Linked DNA regions of Astyanax mexicanus. The protein of the gene in region 2 purifies or fractionates together with the protein of the main gene of each other region. This does not show direct contact. Links are inferred from orthologs where the notes say so. Each region holds a gene or a part of one and is shown on either strand. Other genes may lie near its edges.

Region 1 (7,058 bases), on a different chromosome or scaffold from region 2:
CCATATTCAGACAGCAAGGCTTTAAGCTTTGTTCTGTCAAGTGCAAAATTGCTTTTTGCATTTACTTCTGCCTACATATTTGTGTGCGTGACTAGTAATCTGTAGACGTTAAAGAAATTGAATGTGTAGATGATTTTAGCAGCATATGGGTGTGGTAGTTAAAAGCTCTGACTGATCATGCACGGTTAGTGGAAACCCTAGGGAAAGTGAATGAAACTGAGTGTTTTGGTAATCCTTCAGTATCTAAGATTTGATTGTTACAGGTGTGTGGATGGGTGGGTTTGTGTGTGGGTTTTTTTTGTGGTCTATTTATACCCCTTAACAGACTCCTTTGGTCCTGTTATATCCCTTAAAAGGATGATTAGTTGATATAAATCTCAGTTAGAAATATTTGTACTCCAGATTTCAGTTTTGCTTAATAGTTGATTAGTAACTGCAATCCAATTCTGGGGACAGAAGTGCAGGAGGGTTAAGGCTTCTTAGTCACTCAGTTAACACTAAGCTTGGACCACAAAAGGGACCAAACACAACAGATTATGAATTTTCTTACTCAATATCAGAACACCTCACGTTTAAACATTGGGCATTTAAAGAGCCTTTAAATGCCGCGGTCAGATGTTTCTGTTGCTCTGAAGCAGTAAAGAAAGTTGGGGACAGAAAACAGAGATGGTGATGTTTTCTGTCTTTTAACCACTAATGTGCTCTCTGTAGATTTGAGCCAAACAGTTCCTCCAGCTAGATGTTCATGAACTAGTTCTGTGAATGTTAATACACATGATTGAGCTGAAATATTTAACCTGTTTATTTTTTAATTAATTCGTTCTTTTACCAATTTTGGCTGCAAAATTATTACATCTTACATTTTAAATATGTACTAATTTTGTATTTTAATTTATATATAAATTAGTATTGACATAATGCAGTTGTTTCCTAGTAATAACCCATGAGTGACCCAGTGTTTGTTTTGTTTGTTTGTTTATTAATTAATTTATTTTTTCCTTCGTTTCTTAATCCTCTAGTGGCTGCAAGAGGTCGGGGCCGGGGCGGGCCGGGAGCAAGAGGAAACATTTTCCAGAAACGCCGGTAGTTCAGTTCCTAGTGGCTTCAGTCTGTACAGTTTTCTGTTCAACTTTTATGTTGAGTGCTTACTTGGATTGGTTACCATTGAATTCAAAGTGTTGTTTTTTTTTGTTTGTTTTTTTTTTTTTTAATTAGCTTGTTTTGATTCCACCCCCCTTTTTGTTTTTTGTTGTAATAAATGGAAGTCTTTACTTATACAACGAGGCTCATTTGGTTCATTTTAATAAGGTGTACCACCATTTTTTATGCTTGCAAATACTGTTATTATAATAGGTTGTGAAGTTCAGTTTTAGTCTTTATAGAATTAATATAAATTGTAATTTGATCACAATACTTTTTGTCTGCTGAGTCATGGCATCCCACTCTTCTTGAAGGGTGACCTTCAGGTCCTTGAGGTTTTAGGATAGAGTTTTGTTTTCTATGGGATTCAGGTCTGGAAAAATGGCAGGCCACTTCATTTAAGGTAAGTCTCCAGCAGCTGTTCCCTAATTATGCAACCTCCATGAGCTAGAGTGTGGATGTCCATGAAGGTGGAATTAGGCATGTGTTCATGCAGAGACACATTGACTGGATTGATGATGTAATTTGAGTAGTATTGGCGTTTCACCGAACCATTCACAAAGTGTAGGGCTCGTCTGGTAACTGCAGTGGGACTGATGCATAGTGTTCCCCATTGACCTCTCCAACATTTTTGGTGGCTGCCATTTCTTCTGTGTGAATAGATTTTAATCAGTGAACAGCCCTGGGGTGCCTCGCACCTACCTTACATGTGCCTGGAGTTGTGTGGCATGAATCATCTGGTTCCGCAGGGCACAGATCACAATGAAGTGGTCACCAGTGTAGGGTTTGACCAAATGACGTCCACTTCTATGCCTTTCTCTGACTTTCAGTCTTTCTGCATCACTGTTGCAACCTGCTGATGACACTTCCGTCTAAAAACATCCTGTTTCAAGCCTCGCAGTGGTGAGGTACGGTTGATCAATTGTTAGGTGTCTTCTTGGTCGCATGATGTCAATGTAAACAGCATGAAGACCAATGGAGACCAATCCAAATTTCCCAGTCGAAATAACTAGGCCTATGACTGTCACACATACTTGATCCAACATTTTTTTTAGATGTCAAGCGAAACATGAATAAAACCCTTTAACCTTACCTTTCTGCTGAAATGTTTCGTTAAGTTGAAACATGTTTGGTTGTATTGAACCTACTATGACTAGGCCAATGTGTCTCGTACATTTTAAAAATGTATTTATACAAGCTTTTTACAAAAATCAATGAGTGCTGCAATTCCTCATGACATGCTTGTAGTGTATGTTGCCTCTTATGTTACTATTTTTATGTACAGTATATAAAAAATATATAAAATGCTTGCTTTATATCTTTTTCATATTTTACATTAATGTGTCTTTAGAAATTTAACTGCCACTTGAACATGGTTTACAAAGGACATCTATGTTAAAATTAAATATGTACAAATACGAACCATTTTCTATTTTTTTTTTTTCAGGAAGCCCAGAACAGAGAGTTATGGCCGTTTAAAAATGAATGAAGGTTTAGGAGTATGGTTTATCATTCAGTTGAGCAGTAGAACCAACCAGAAACAATTTTAATTTAAATACTGAGTGAAAAGTCAAATAACAGTTTTTACATTTTAATATCAGCTACAAATTGTACAGCATTTCTAGCTTACTTTATGGACATAAATTTAGCTGGAGACTAAATAACTTTAAAACTCTTCCATTTGCCTTTTTATTCCATTTGACTATACTAATGGGCCATTCCACCAAATGGGTGCCATTTGCTTGGTGTAACTATTCAAAACATGTACTGGTATTTTTTTTTTTTTTACAAGGTTTCTAATCTGAAGATGATTTTTCTCTTTCCTGTTACCAAAACTTGACATTAAAAAAAACATTTTAAAAACAAATTCCTCCGTATACTGCATGTTTGAATAATTAATATTATAACAAAAAAACACTAATTGCATGCACTTCTAAAAGATGTGAAGTCTTTTGTAATTTTTTTATGAAGACCCAAACCAGAAATTGATCATTTTTTATCATGCAGTTTATTAAACAAATGGCAAAATGATGACCCAAGCAGAATTGGAAATGGCGGTTTACTGTACATTAACTAATGTTTACATTAATAAATCAATAACTAGGGGACTCTACTCAGTCCTTATACTGGCATTCACTTCTGTTACTGGCACACATTCCTGTTACTGGCACTCACTGAGTAACAGGAGTGAAAGTAATAGGACTGAGTTTAGCAAAAACATGAATGAAAAATTGTGCATGTCCATTTTGGTAGCATGCCTCAACTACTTTCTTTGATTGTGGCCAGCCTTGGTATAGTTTCATTAGCTACTTTTCCATCCTATAATATGTTTAAAAAGATGGGTCTAATATTGTGTAGATGCTAAATGTTGCTAAATCTTCAGGACTTGAACTGTTAGAATTTTTGCACCAGGAGTGTTATCCAAAAGAAAAAAAGTCCAAGACTGGTGGAGGAGGATATGCCAAGATGCATGAAAACTGTGTTTAAAAAAACTATTTTAATCCACCAAACATTGATTTCTGAACTCTTTATACTTTATGAAAGTTAATGTGTTTTATTTGCATTATTTAAGATCTAAAAGCTCTAAATGACAATTTTTGTTTTTTTGGAATTTGGGAGAAATGTCAGTAGTTTTACTAGAACATGTACCTATAAATAGCAACATCACTGAAACTGATTCAGAAACTGAAGTGGTCTCTTTTTTTCCAGAGCTGTATAATTGTGGCTCCAGCAGCGAAGGGTTAATATCCAAAAAGAGATTTCCCCTTTTAAGGCCGTGTGTGTTAAGATGAGGGGGGGGGACCCAGGTCCAGAAAGTAAAAATCCATCCCAGGGTTTTGTACCAACTGCCTGGGAGGCTCTGCTGCAGCTTGGCTCTACCCAGAGCCGCCCAAGCAGTTGGTACCAAACCCCGGGCTGGATTTTTTATTTCTGGACCTGGGATTTCCACCTCTAGTGTGTGGTGAGAGGCATGGCTGAGCTGCTGTTCTCTGAATCCGCCTGCACACAGTAGAGGATGCAGCAGCGGCCCCGCATCACAGCGGAGCTGCCCCGCCTGCCCACCGCAGCCACCCCGCAACGAATACCATTAAACCGGCTGATCGCACCGCGAAGAAGCTGCTTCTCCAGAGACCCTTAAGGACAGTTCGGACCGGCGCGGTGAGAATCAGCACTTATTACCGTGTTGTTTTCTGATCCTGAGTGTTTATTTGTGCCCTTCAGCTCCAGCGGGGGATTTCTACCCCAACATCTGTTTCATAAGAGCTTCCTCCGCTAGCCTAGCGCGCTTAGCAGAACCGAGGCGGATATAAATACTAACTGCGAGCCCAGCTGAGCTCTGAACTCTTATATCTCTCAATTTAAATAAATACAGTGCAGTCTTTCTCGGCTCCTTCTCTACATGTTTAAATCCACACCGAGCGTTTTAATTGATTTTTGCCTTTTTATCCCTAGCGCTGTTTTAGATGTCAGTATGTTAGTTAGCAAGCTGCTAGCTAACGGTATCTCTAGCTTTACTTCCAGAGCGGGGAAGTGTGCAGCCTGTACCCGATAACAGCGCCTCTGATAGCGGACCAGCGAGCGAGCGAGCTACCCTGTACCATAACTACCCATATTTCTGACAGTACAGATAGTTTTAATAAGCACCTGCGAGGAAATCTAACCAGAAAAGCAAATAACAAAAAAGCATCCCCATCTACCTCAGTTTTACCCCAAAACAACAAACCGACAGATATAACGCTCGCTATTAGAGAGAGAGAGAGAGTGGGGGAGCTGGTCTGTGAGGAATGTACAAGAACCCCTTCACCACAAACTGAATTGTAATGGTTGTTTTAGTTGTACAATCATTTCACTGGCGTGTATAGATGTTACAGGTGTACAGATAGTTTTGATGGACATCTGACACATGAGGTCCCCATTAATTATTATAGAGAGAAAGTGAAGGAGCTAGGTTGTGGAGCAGTCTGAACTGCAGAGCTCAAATCTGAGACATAAAAACATGTCCAAGTCTTAATTTGTGTGTTAGGCTGGAAAATCTATAGTTTTTAATGTGTATTCTTTTTTTTGTACAGGTTGTATTTCAGTCTGTAAGTCAGTAAATAGCTTTTATGTTATTTCTGTGAGGATAAGTGGGCAAGAAGACATTTCACCACAAATTGAATTGTAACAGATGTATAATACAGTGATTATTATGCTGATGTACTGATCCAAATTAATTACACTGGTGTGTTCAGGTTTTACAGGTGTACATTTTTGATGGCCATCTGACTGAAAAATTACCAAAAATAGCAAATAATATTTGTTAGAGAGGGAACGTGGAAGAGAGCTAGGCTGCTGTTGCTGCTGTATACAATACATATTTTTTTTTATTTGTGGACAGGTCTTTATATTTAAATGGAAAATATCCATTTGGGCTGATAATAGCTGTCTTTTCTGTCAGGAGGTAGATCAAATTGAATGATTTTAATTGTATTAAATTATAAAGAAAACACATAGATTCCTATTTCTGAGACTTATGCTTATGGAGAGTTGTGATGGGCACCTGACCTAAAAAGCACTTAAAAAGCAAATGACAATCCCCATTAACATAAATTCTACCCCAAACAACATTTCTAGCATTGGCAGCAGCCAAGTGGAGCTATGCTGTTATGCAGTCTGTTATTTAAATGCAAAATGTATATTTATATGTAAATATTTCATAAAAGATCACATGTCGGTCTCGAAATTTAGTTTTGCAAACTAAATGCTAATACAGATAAGCTTTTCCTGTGCTTTGTTCTGTATATTTTGTGTATTGTTATCTATGTGTACATTGTTTAGCTCTATGCCGTCATAATGGCGAGGAACAGTCATGTGACCACACACTATGATAAACAGCTGGCATCTGTACTAATAGAACATCTGCTTGGTTTTAAGGCAAGAGCAGCTCTGGTTTACAAATACTGTTTTAGCAGTGGGCAGATACAAAGTCTTAAATAGCAGGACAGTTCTTTAATAGCAGACACCATTTCAGAGACAGTGTTTGACCTTTTCACAGTAGCTACTATGACTAGTAGTTACAAATGAGAAATTAAAGGGAAGACCTACATAATCAATAATCATAATCAACTAGCCTCTTTTTTAAGCAGATTGACCACCCATACATTATAAAATGTCATTGTGCAAAATAGTGAAACAGTGAAATACTGAAATGGTGGGATATATGCTTGGCTGGATGGATAAATGGGGATACTGGCACTCATGTGGTCAAATCTGTCTTTTTTCATAAACTGAGATCAGGGTGTAAACAATGTAATATTAGACACAAATCCTAACTCTGCATTGTAGCCTCTGTAGTACACATTATTCTTGTGTGTAATGTAATTTGATCTGTCCTGTTATTGCAGCACTTAAGCGTGTGGAATGCATCACAATAACATGGCGATAAAAATTGGATTCCTAATTTACACCTCTATTTGTCTCTTATTCGTCTTCATTCAGAAATAATGTCTTACAATAATTGTTTAATTCAGCTCCACGCTGTAGGTAATGAATGCCGGGTAAACCAGACATAAATGCAGAAATTGTTGCCACTGCAAATCTTTTTCAGGGGCTGAATAATATGCACCTATTACAATATAAAGGGGCTTTCTCTGTGGCTACAGTGTTTAAACAGTTCCTGATTGGTGGAGCTTCTTTGTTAATGCCGATCTTTGGTACATAAGCCCAGCACACAGCTGAGTTCATATTTGGCAGCTTATATAGGCTGTGCACATAGAGCAGTGTCCCAGTGAATGCTGTGCAATCCATCAAAGATCAAAGTAGGTCACCCAGCGAAGGAACAGTCTTGAGATTAAAATAACTCAGCAGACCAGAGCTCTCTGTGCTTCAGCAACATCTTGGTCTTGGGCTTTTACATTTCTCCTCAAGTTCAGTAAAAG
Region 2 (7,414 bases):
CGGTACACTGACTCAGGCATTCAGTACAGAACAGACTCCCCAGGGTCCTAAACGCCTCATTAAAAATTACCATCCACTGAACTGAGAACAGCGGCTTTAGCACAATGCTGCTAATTCCTTTCCTTTCGATGCATTGGAAACCCACACAAAATAAATTAAACTCCAAATAAATTAAGTTTGTTGTAAATAAAACTAAAATTAATATTGTTGTTTAATTCTATTATTCTAACTACGGACAACATTTCTCCCAAATTCCAAGTAAAAAATGAGAAATGGCTGAAATAACAAAAAGAGAGGCAGAGCTTTCAGACCTCAAATTATGCAAAGAAAACAAGTTCATATTCATAAAGTTTTAAGAGTTCAGAAATCAATCAATATTTGGTGGAATAATCCTGGATGGTTTTAATCACAGTTTTTTTCATGCATCTTGGCATCATGTTCTCCTCCACCAGTCTTACACACTGCTTTTGGATAACTTCATGCCTTCACTCCTGGTGCAGCTCATTATTTTAAACTGTCTTTTATTTTTTTTCAGAGCTGTATTTCCTGCTTTATATATATTTAGTCATTTCTTCAGTTTTCTTGTTTAAAATTTCCTTTAATGTAGAATTAACTCTGAGTTTAATATTATGCAAAACTCTTTGTCAACTTTTTTTTTGTATACTTCATATGTTTGTTTTTTTTTCACTTCATAAACACTTCAAATATCCAAAACATCATTTATTTGAATCATATGTTTCTATGAGCCGTTTGGATGGCTCCTCCCTAATTGTGATGTCACAATAAGAAAACAATGTTTAATACCTTAAATATATTTAACTTAGACTTTTTGTTTAACAACTTTAATTTGTTAATTTTATAGCACATAACCTGCATGTTAAGATACAGGTACAGAACATGTTTGACTGAACCTGATCAGCTCAATACAGCATTAAAGTGTGCGCTGGTTTTGAGGTTATATACTGATAAATATGCTGATGAGTCTCTGTTTTTCGTCTCGCTGTGGGATTATGGTAAAAACTGGATGGTGATATTCAGGGTCCGTGTCTCGACACGCCGGCAGCATCTGTGCTGTCAACAGTGCTTCTGCTGATACATTCCATCCTAATCCACGTCAAGATACCTTCTGGCCTCACCTGCAGCCCATAAATACAGAACACCGAGCAGAAAACTGCTGCAGCACCTGATACACATCACATACAGAGCACTATCAGATTATTAGATTATCATAGATTATCAATTCACATATAACACACATATTACAGAGCACTATCAGATTATTAGATTAGATCAATTCATATATTACTATTCTACATTAGGCTAAAGCTCATTTACTCCAGCAAATGTTTATTTTTCTGTTAAAATCCATTTACAATAGTGTACATATGAACAATAAACCCACTGTTACCAATAAATAAGCCATTCAAAGTGTTGGAATAAAATTAGTTTTTACTTATCTCAACTACATTTGAGTATACAAATAAAGTACATTTTTGCTGTGTTTATTTAAAGTTCCATAAACTTCATTGCTATCAAAAATGCCTCGATTCTGATTGGTCATAACTTATTGATTTTGTTTGTTTTACATTTTTAATTAGAATATTTAATTATTTTTATTTATCTTAGCTATTATTATATTTATTTGCTCATTTTTGATATATATTTTAGGAAACATTACATCATGTGAGATCTAGATTCCTTTAATCTAGATTAATCTCTCAGTGTGCTCTGAATTTATTACTATTCAAAACTCACTTTTTCTGTGCTTTTTCTTAAATTTTCATTTGGGTCTTAACTGCCCCTAGAAACACTCCTATCACCCAAAAAATCCACCCATTCCTTTTTTTGTGGATCACTTATAAGAGTTTGGAAAGTAAGAAGTTTTGTGCTTCCATTGCAGTTAAGCATAAACCAGCAACAGCAACAGATAATTTGCATAAAAGTGACAGAGCCCTTAAATGGCTCATTCTGAAAGAGACTTAAACTGGTAAGAATAGAGGAGGAGAGATCTCTTTTAAAAAATTAATGGAGGGACTTAAACATTTTATTAATTATGTGTTTATTTTTTTAAATAATAATACAAAAGTCATTATTCTTTGGCATCATGCAGATAACCCTCTACAGCACCATCCGTCCATGTGATGCGACTGATCTGCCAGCAGAGAGCACTGCTTTCACAGCACAGTCAACACTAAAGTGGACTATTTATTCAATATTATCTAATATATAAATATTCAGATATTTATTTTTACAGGATAATACGGTTGTATAATAATAATATGCTCAGTTTTTTTTAAAGGAAAGCTTAATTCATAAAGCTCTTTTCTGCATATTATTGCAAGATGCATTTGAGTGACATTTGCATTTTTCAGAGAATCAGTGCTGCTGAATTTATTAGAAGATTAGGAGATGAATTCTTGTTGACACTTGTAGAAACGCATAAAGAGTCCCACAGGAATCACATCAAACTGTTTAAGTCTTTTCATGAACAGCTTTAATTATCTATCTCAGGGATTCACAAATCTGGTGCCATTTGTGTTACACAATGTGTTACACTTATATATAGAACCAGTCAAAGGTTTGGATGCTTTTCTATTTTATTATATTTTCTACATAGTAAATGAATAGTGAAGTGATCTATCATACTATGAAGGAACACATAAGAAACCATGTAGTAACTTAAAAACAGTGTTAAACAAACCAAAATACTCTTGGTCCTGATGAGAGTGTCACATCTGGTGCTGTTAGCTCCTCTGTTTCTCACGCACCCAGCTCTGACAGAGGTTCTCAGTCTAACAACTACATTACCCAGAACGCACCACCCGCTGACACGCACACACCCAGTCACACGTCACCTCACCTGCTCCAACCAGGAAGCCCCGAATATTAGTCTGGCACTATTTAAGGACACCTCTCACACACTTCTGTGCCGGGTATTGTTGGATTTTCCTCATTACTAAGCGTTACTCTCTATTGTCTCTGTTATCTTCGTGTATGACCTTGTTTTGTTTTTTCTCGACGCCGATTTTTGGATTATCTCTGATTGTGGATATTTTTGTGTATGACCTGGACTGTTTCACGTTTTTCGATTTTGGATTACCTCTGATGTTGGCCTGCTTGTGTTTGAACTCTGGACTGTATCTCACTCATGGTATGGTTATCTCTACGTTGCTTCTGTTTACCGGTGCTCTAACTTTGTTTGTACGACTACCCTTTTTTCTGCCTGCTATTTTAATAAACAACCCGTTTTACTGCATCTGCGAGTGTCTGTATTCTGTGCACACCATGACAGAGAGCCAGTTCCATCATCATAACATTTTTGGTAGCCTTTCTTTGTGATAAAGTTCTGGAAATTCTTCTTTTTGGATTAACTGACCATTATTTTTCACTTAAAGTATTTTCTAAACTTTAGTTAAGTAGTTCTTGCTTCTCATAATCTGGATTAGAACATTTCGCTGTCTACCTCTTTTACATGTTTTTAACCCCTTTTTTATCTACAGGGGTTGGACAATGAAACTGAAACACATGTCATCATTTTAGTTTGAGATTTTAGGTTTCATGTCTAAATTGGTGCAGCCTGGTGTTCAATCTTCATTAATTGCACATTATTGCACCAGTAAGAGCAGAGTGTGAAGGTTCAATTAGCAGGGTAAGAGCACAGTTCTGCTCTAAATATTGCAATGCACACAACATTATGGGAGACATACCAGAGTTCAAAAGAGGACAAATTGTTGGTGCACGTCTTGCTGGAGCATCTGTGACCAAGACAGCAAGTCTTTGTGATGCATCAAGAGCCACGGTATCCAGGGTAATGTCAGCATACCACCAAGAAGCACCAACCACATCCAACAGGATTAACTGTGGATGCTGTAAGAGGAAGCTGTCTGAAAGGGATGTTCGGGTGCTAACGCAGAATTTAATGTTCACCTCAACTCTCCTGTTTCCACCAGAACTGTCCGTCACCACAATAAACTATTGTGCTCTAAAACCAGGTGTTTCAATTTCAATCTCCAACCCCTGTAATAATGGAGCAATTTAGGTGAAATTCATTCATTTTCTTCTCTGTTACAATAGCAGCAGCCAGAAAGACAGAAAGACAGAAAGACAGATGTACGACTGGCACACACATCAGCATTACTGAGTACTTCTGTCTGTATCACAGCGGAAGGACTGAAGTGATCTATCAGTCTAAGTTTAGCCTTCGCACTCCACCGAACCAAGGCTTGGACCTTATCTCTTGCACCCCACCAACCCCCAACCACCAACTTAACCCCCACCCCCACCCCCGGCCGGGTGGCTGGTGCAGGTATTTTTAGCTGGTGAGGCGGCAGCTGTGGAAGCATTTATTGGCCGTTAGCTGACAGTGACACCCAGGGTGCCCCGGGGCTGAGTGACGTTGTGCACGGTGTGAGAGATACAGCGCGAGAGGAGAGCCTGAGTAATACAGAGTGAAGCTCACGCACCATGCATTCACACGCCTGAGAGCTTCACAACCAGAGCTGAGAACATCTCTGAGGACTTTACACACAATATCCTGAATCCTGAGATACGGATTCATCTGCACTGGTGGATAAATCAAGGGAAAGCATCATCTCCAGCTCTGTGGAACACCATCTGCAGCTTCTGCTCCGGCATAATCTATCTCTACGTATCTCCAAACCACAGCAGGGGTCAGAGGTCGGCTCGATTAAAGATTTGAAGATTGGAGCAAGTTGACACTGGAGGTCAAAAACCTCTCAAGAGGCTCAAAACTCAAGAGGAAGTCCTGGGAAGGAGCGTTTTCTCAGTATTGGGTCTTGGAGACTCGAAGATCACAGTTATTACAGGTAGGTTTGCTTTATAATGGCCTCTCGAGAGAAGATTGCAAAGCAAAAAGTCATGTGTTGTTTTAACTTACTCTCACAGAGAAAGTAATTGATTTTAACTCTTTCTCAGGGTTTAAATACTGTAGCTCAACACTATTTGGAGTTAAATCAACACTTAGTTAGTTAGTTAGTTAGTTAAACATACATTGAACACCTTGTGAGAGTTCCTTTTTAACTCACATTTGTATTAGGGAGTTATTAATGGTTAATAACTAGGTTGTGAATACTTTATAGACCATTAGTAAATAGTTACAAAACATAAAATGTGTAATAGTGTAAAATAGTGTAAAATGTGTAATAATTACAATATATAAAACATTACAACATCATTAAGTCAACATTATATATATAAAGTCTGAGAAAATGTAATTTAAATATTATTTGAAATTTTACTTAACCATTAAAGTGATATTTGTTGGTGTCACTTTAAATGAGACTCCTTTATAAAGGGTTTTGTAATAATCTATGATGGAGTTAGAAAATATATAATAATAAAGAAAAAAAATTATAATTAACAGTGCAACATTACAACATTATTAAGTCAACATTTTATATATATATATATATATATATATATATATATATATATATATATATATATATATATATATATATATATATATATATATATATATATATATATTTATAAAGGGTTTTTAAAAAAATCTATGATGGAGTTTATTAATGGTTAATAATTAGGTTGTGAATTAAAAAAAAAATGTTGATATTACTTAACCATTAAAAAAGTTGTATTACTTTTTTATCATAAGTCCTGTTATTTGTGAGTCTTACTGTGAAATGTTACTAATTATTGCCATTTTAATTTTTTTTATATCACTTATATAATCATATGTTTATAGAATAGCATAATATTGTATTTTAAAGAACAATTATTTATTTATGTATTCTTTTTAAGTATATTTAAATGTTGGAATTATAATATATATATATATATATATATATATATATATATATATATATATATATATATATATATATATATATATATATATATATATATATATATAAAAGCTATTTTTAAACAGTTATGGTCTATATATATATATTATAACTAATGTGATAATTCATGTAACCGGGCTCTCCCAGCTTAGTAAATACAAACATTTGGCACAGTTGTGGTCAACTAAACTGATTGAGGTCATGACTATTTATTGTACCATAAGTTAATAATGCAAATACTGTGACCGTGACCATATTCTAATGCTAACATGCTTACTTTTTGAGATTATATGATTTTATTTATATTCACCATAGTTGGATTCTTTCTAGCGAACTTGACCAAGTTATGACTCATTTTATTTGAAGCACACTGAAGTTAAAAGACCATAAAAGAATCTTAATCCACAGCTGAGTCATTTCAATACTGAAGTTATTGCTAAAACAGAAAGGATGCGCTAATGACATGATGTTACAGTTATATCTGGATGAGCTGTTCATGTTATTGTGATGTGCTGTAATGTTATGAATCAGTGTCGCTGCAGTTCTGTGATGTTTTTCGGGGCTTTTGTTTTGTCCTCCACACGGCCGGACCACTTATCTCCTCATCTTTATTTGGACGACCTATTTTAAATACTTCCTCTTGATAAACAGCACCAGCTGCTGAGGCTGAGGAGGAGCAGCACAGGGGTTTCTTAGACCGACTGTTAAATATTTGCTTTATGAGAGACTCTTTCAAAGAGATACAGTGCTGTAAAAACGTATTTTTATTTTGACATATACAGATTTATTTTGTTTAGCTTTTTTTATCATACTCACATTTTTCAGATTGATAAACAGACTTTAATATCGGAGGCATTAAAGCAGTTTTTGAATGATAGTTTCATTTATTAAGGAATCAAAGCTATTCAATTCAATCTAGACCTTTGTGAAAAAGTGATCCTAATAATAATAACAACTTGTTATATTAAAATAATACAAGAATTTTATCAGATTTGTAACAGAAGTCAATGATCCAGAATGATCAGTCATGACACTTATAATAATAATAATGCACTATAAATATCTCTATATATCCAGGATTAAAGTAAAAAAACAGAAATGAGAACAGTGTGAATTTTTTTTTTTTTTGCTAAAAACAGTAAAAAAGTAGTACCCTGATGGGTGATATGGCACCATTTTTCATGGTATAATATTATTTTTTGTATATAGTATTAAATTTATGTTTTTAATGTATTATTTCTATTTATTTATTGATTTATATTTTTAATAGTGTGGAATGTAGAGAAGATCAAAAAGGATAGATTCATTTCAGTAAGGAGATTTAAAGCATTTTTAAAGCCTGGAATTGGATATTTTAGAGTATAATAGTTTAGAGTACAATGTTTTAATGCATTTTTATTTATTTATTTATTTTTAATTTTTATTTTTTTGCTAAAACTGTAAAAAAAAAAAAGTAGTACCCTGATGTGATAATTAGGGGTATATATGGCACCATGTTTCAGGGTATAATATTGTTTTTTTGTATATAGTATTAAATTGTGATTTTAATGATTTGATGTATTTTTATTTATTTTATGAATTTTTTTAAC

Evidence for each region.
Region 1: the proteins of obsl1a (region 2) and calcium/calmodulin-dependent protein kinase kinase 2 purify together in Homo sapiens (affinity purification with mass spectrometry; 4 studies listed by BioGRID and IntAct, with this or other methods). This does not show direct contact. The link is inferred for Astyanax mexicanus from reciprocal best matches to the Homo sapiens genes OBSL1 and CAMKK2.

The regions. Positions count from the first base shown.
Region 1 is NC_064424.1:38,891,505-38,898,562, forward strand, and holds the start of calcium/calmodulin-dependent protein kinase kinase 2, read left to right. Parts: upstream 1-4,058; 5' UTR 4,059-4,299; intron 4,300-7,058. Other genes in the region: snrpd3l (small nuclear ribonucleoprotein D3 polypeptide, like), read left to right, coding at 1,020-1,087. UniProt on the Homo sapiens protein: Calcium/calmodulin-dependent protein kinase belonging to a proposed calcium-triggered signaling cascade involved in a number of cellular processes. Isoform 1, isoform 2 and isoform 3 phosphorylate CAMK1 and CAMK4. Isoform 3 phosphorylates CAMK1D.
Region 2 is NC_064412.1:56,530,224-56,537,637, reverse strand, and holds the start of obsl1a (obscurin-like protein 1a), read left to right. Parts: upstream 1-4,396; 5' UTR 4,397-4,826; intron 4,827-7,414. UniProt on the Homo sapiens protein: Core component of the 3M complex, a complex required to regulate microtubule dynamics and genome integrity. It is unclear how the 3M complex regulates microtubules, it could act by controlling the level of a microtubule stabilizer.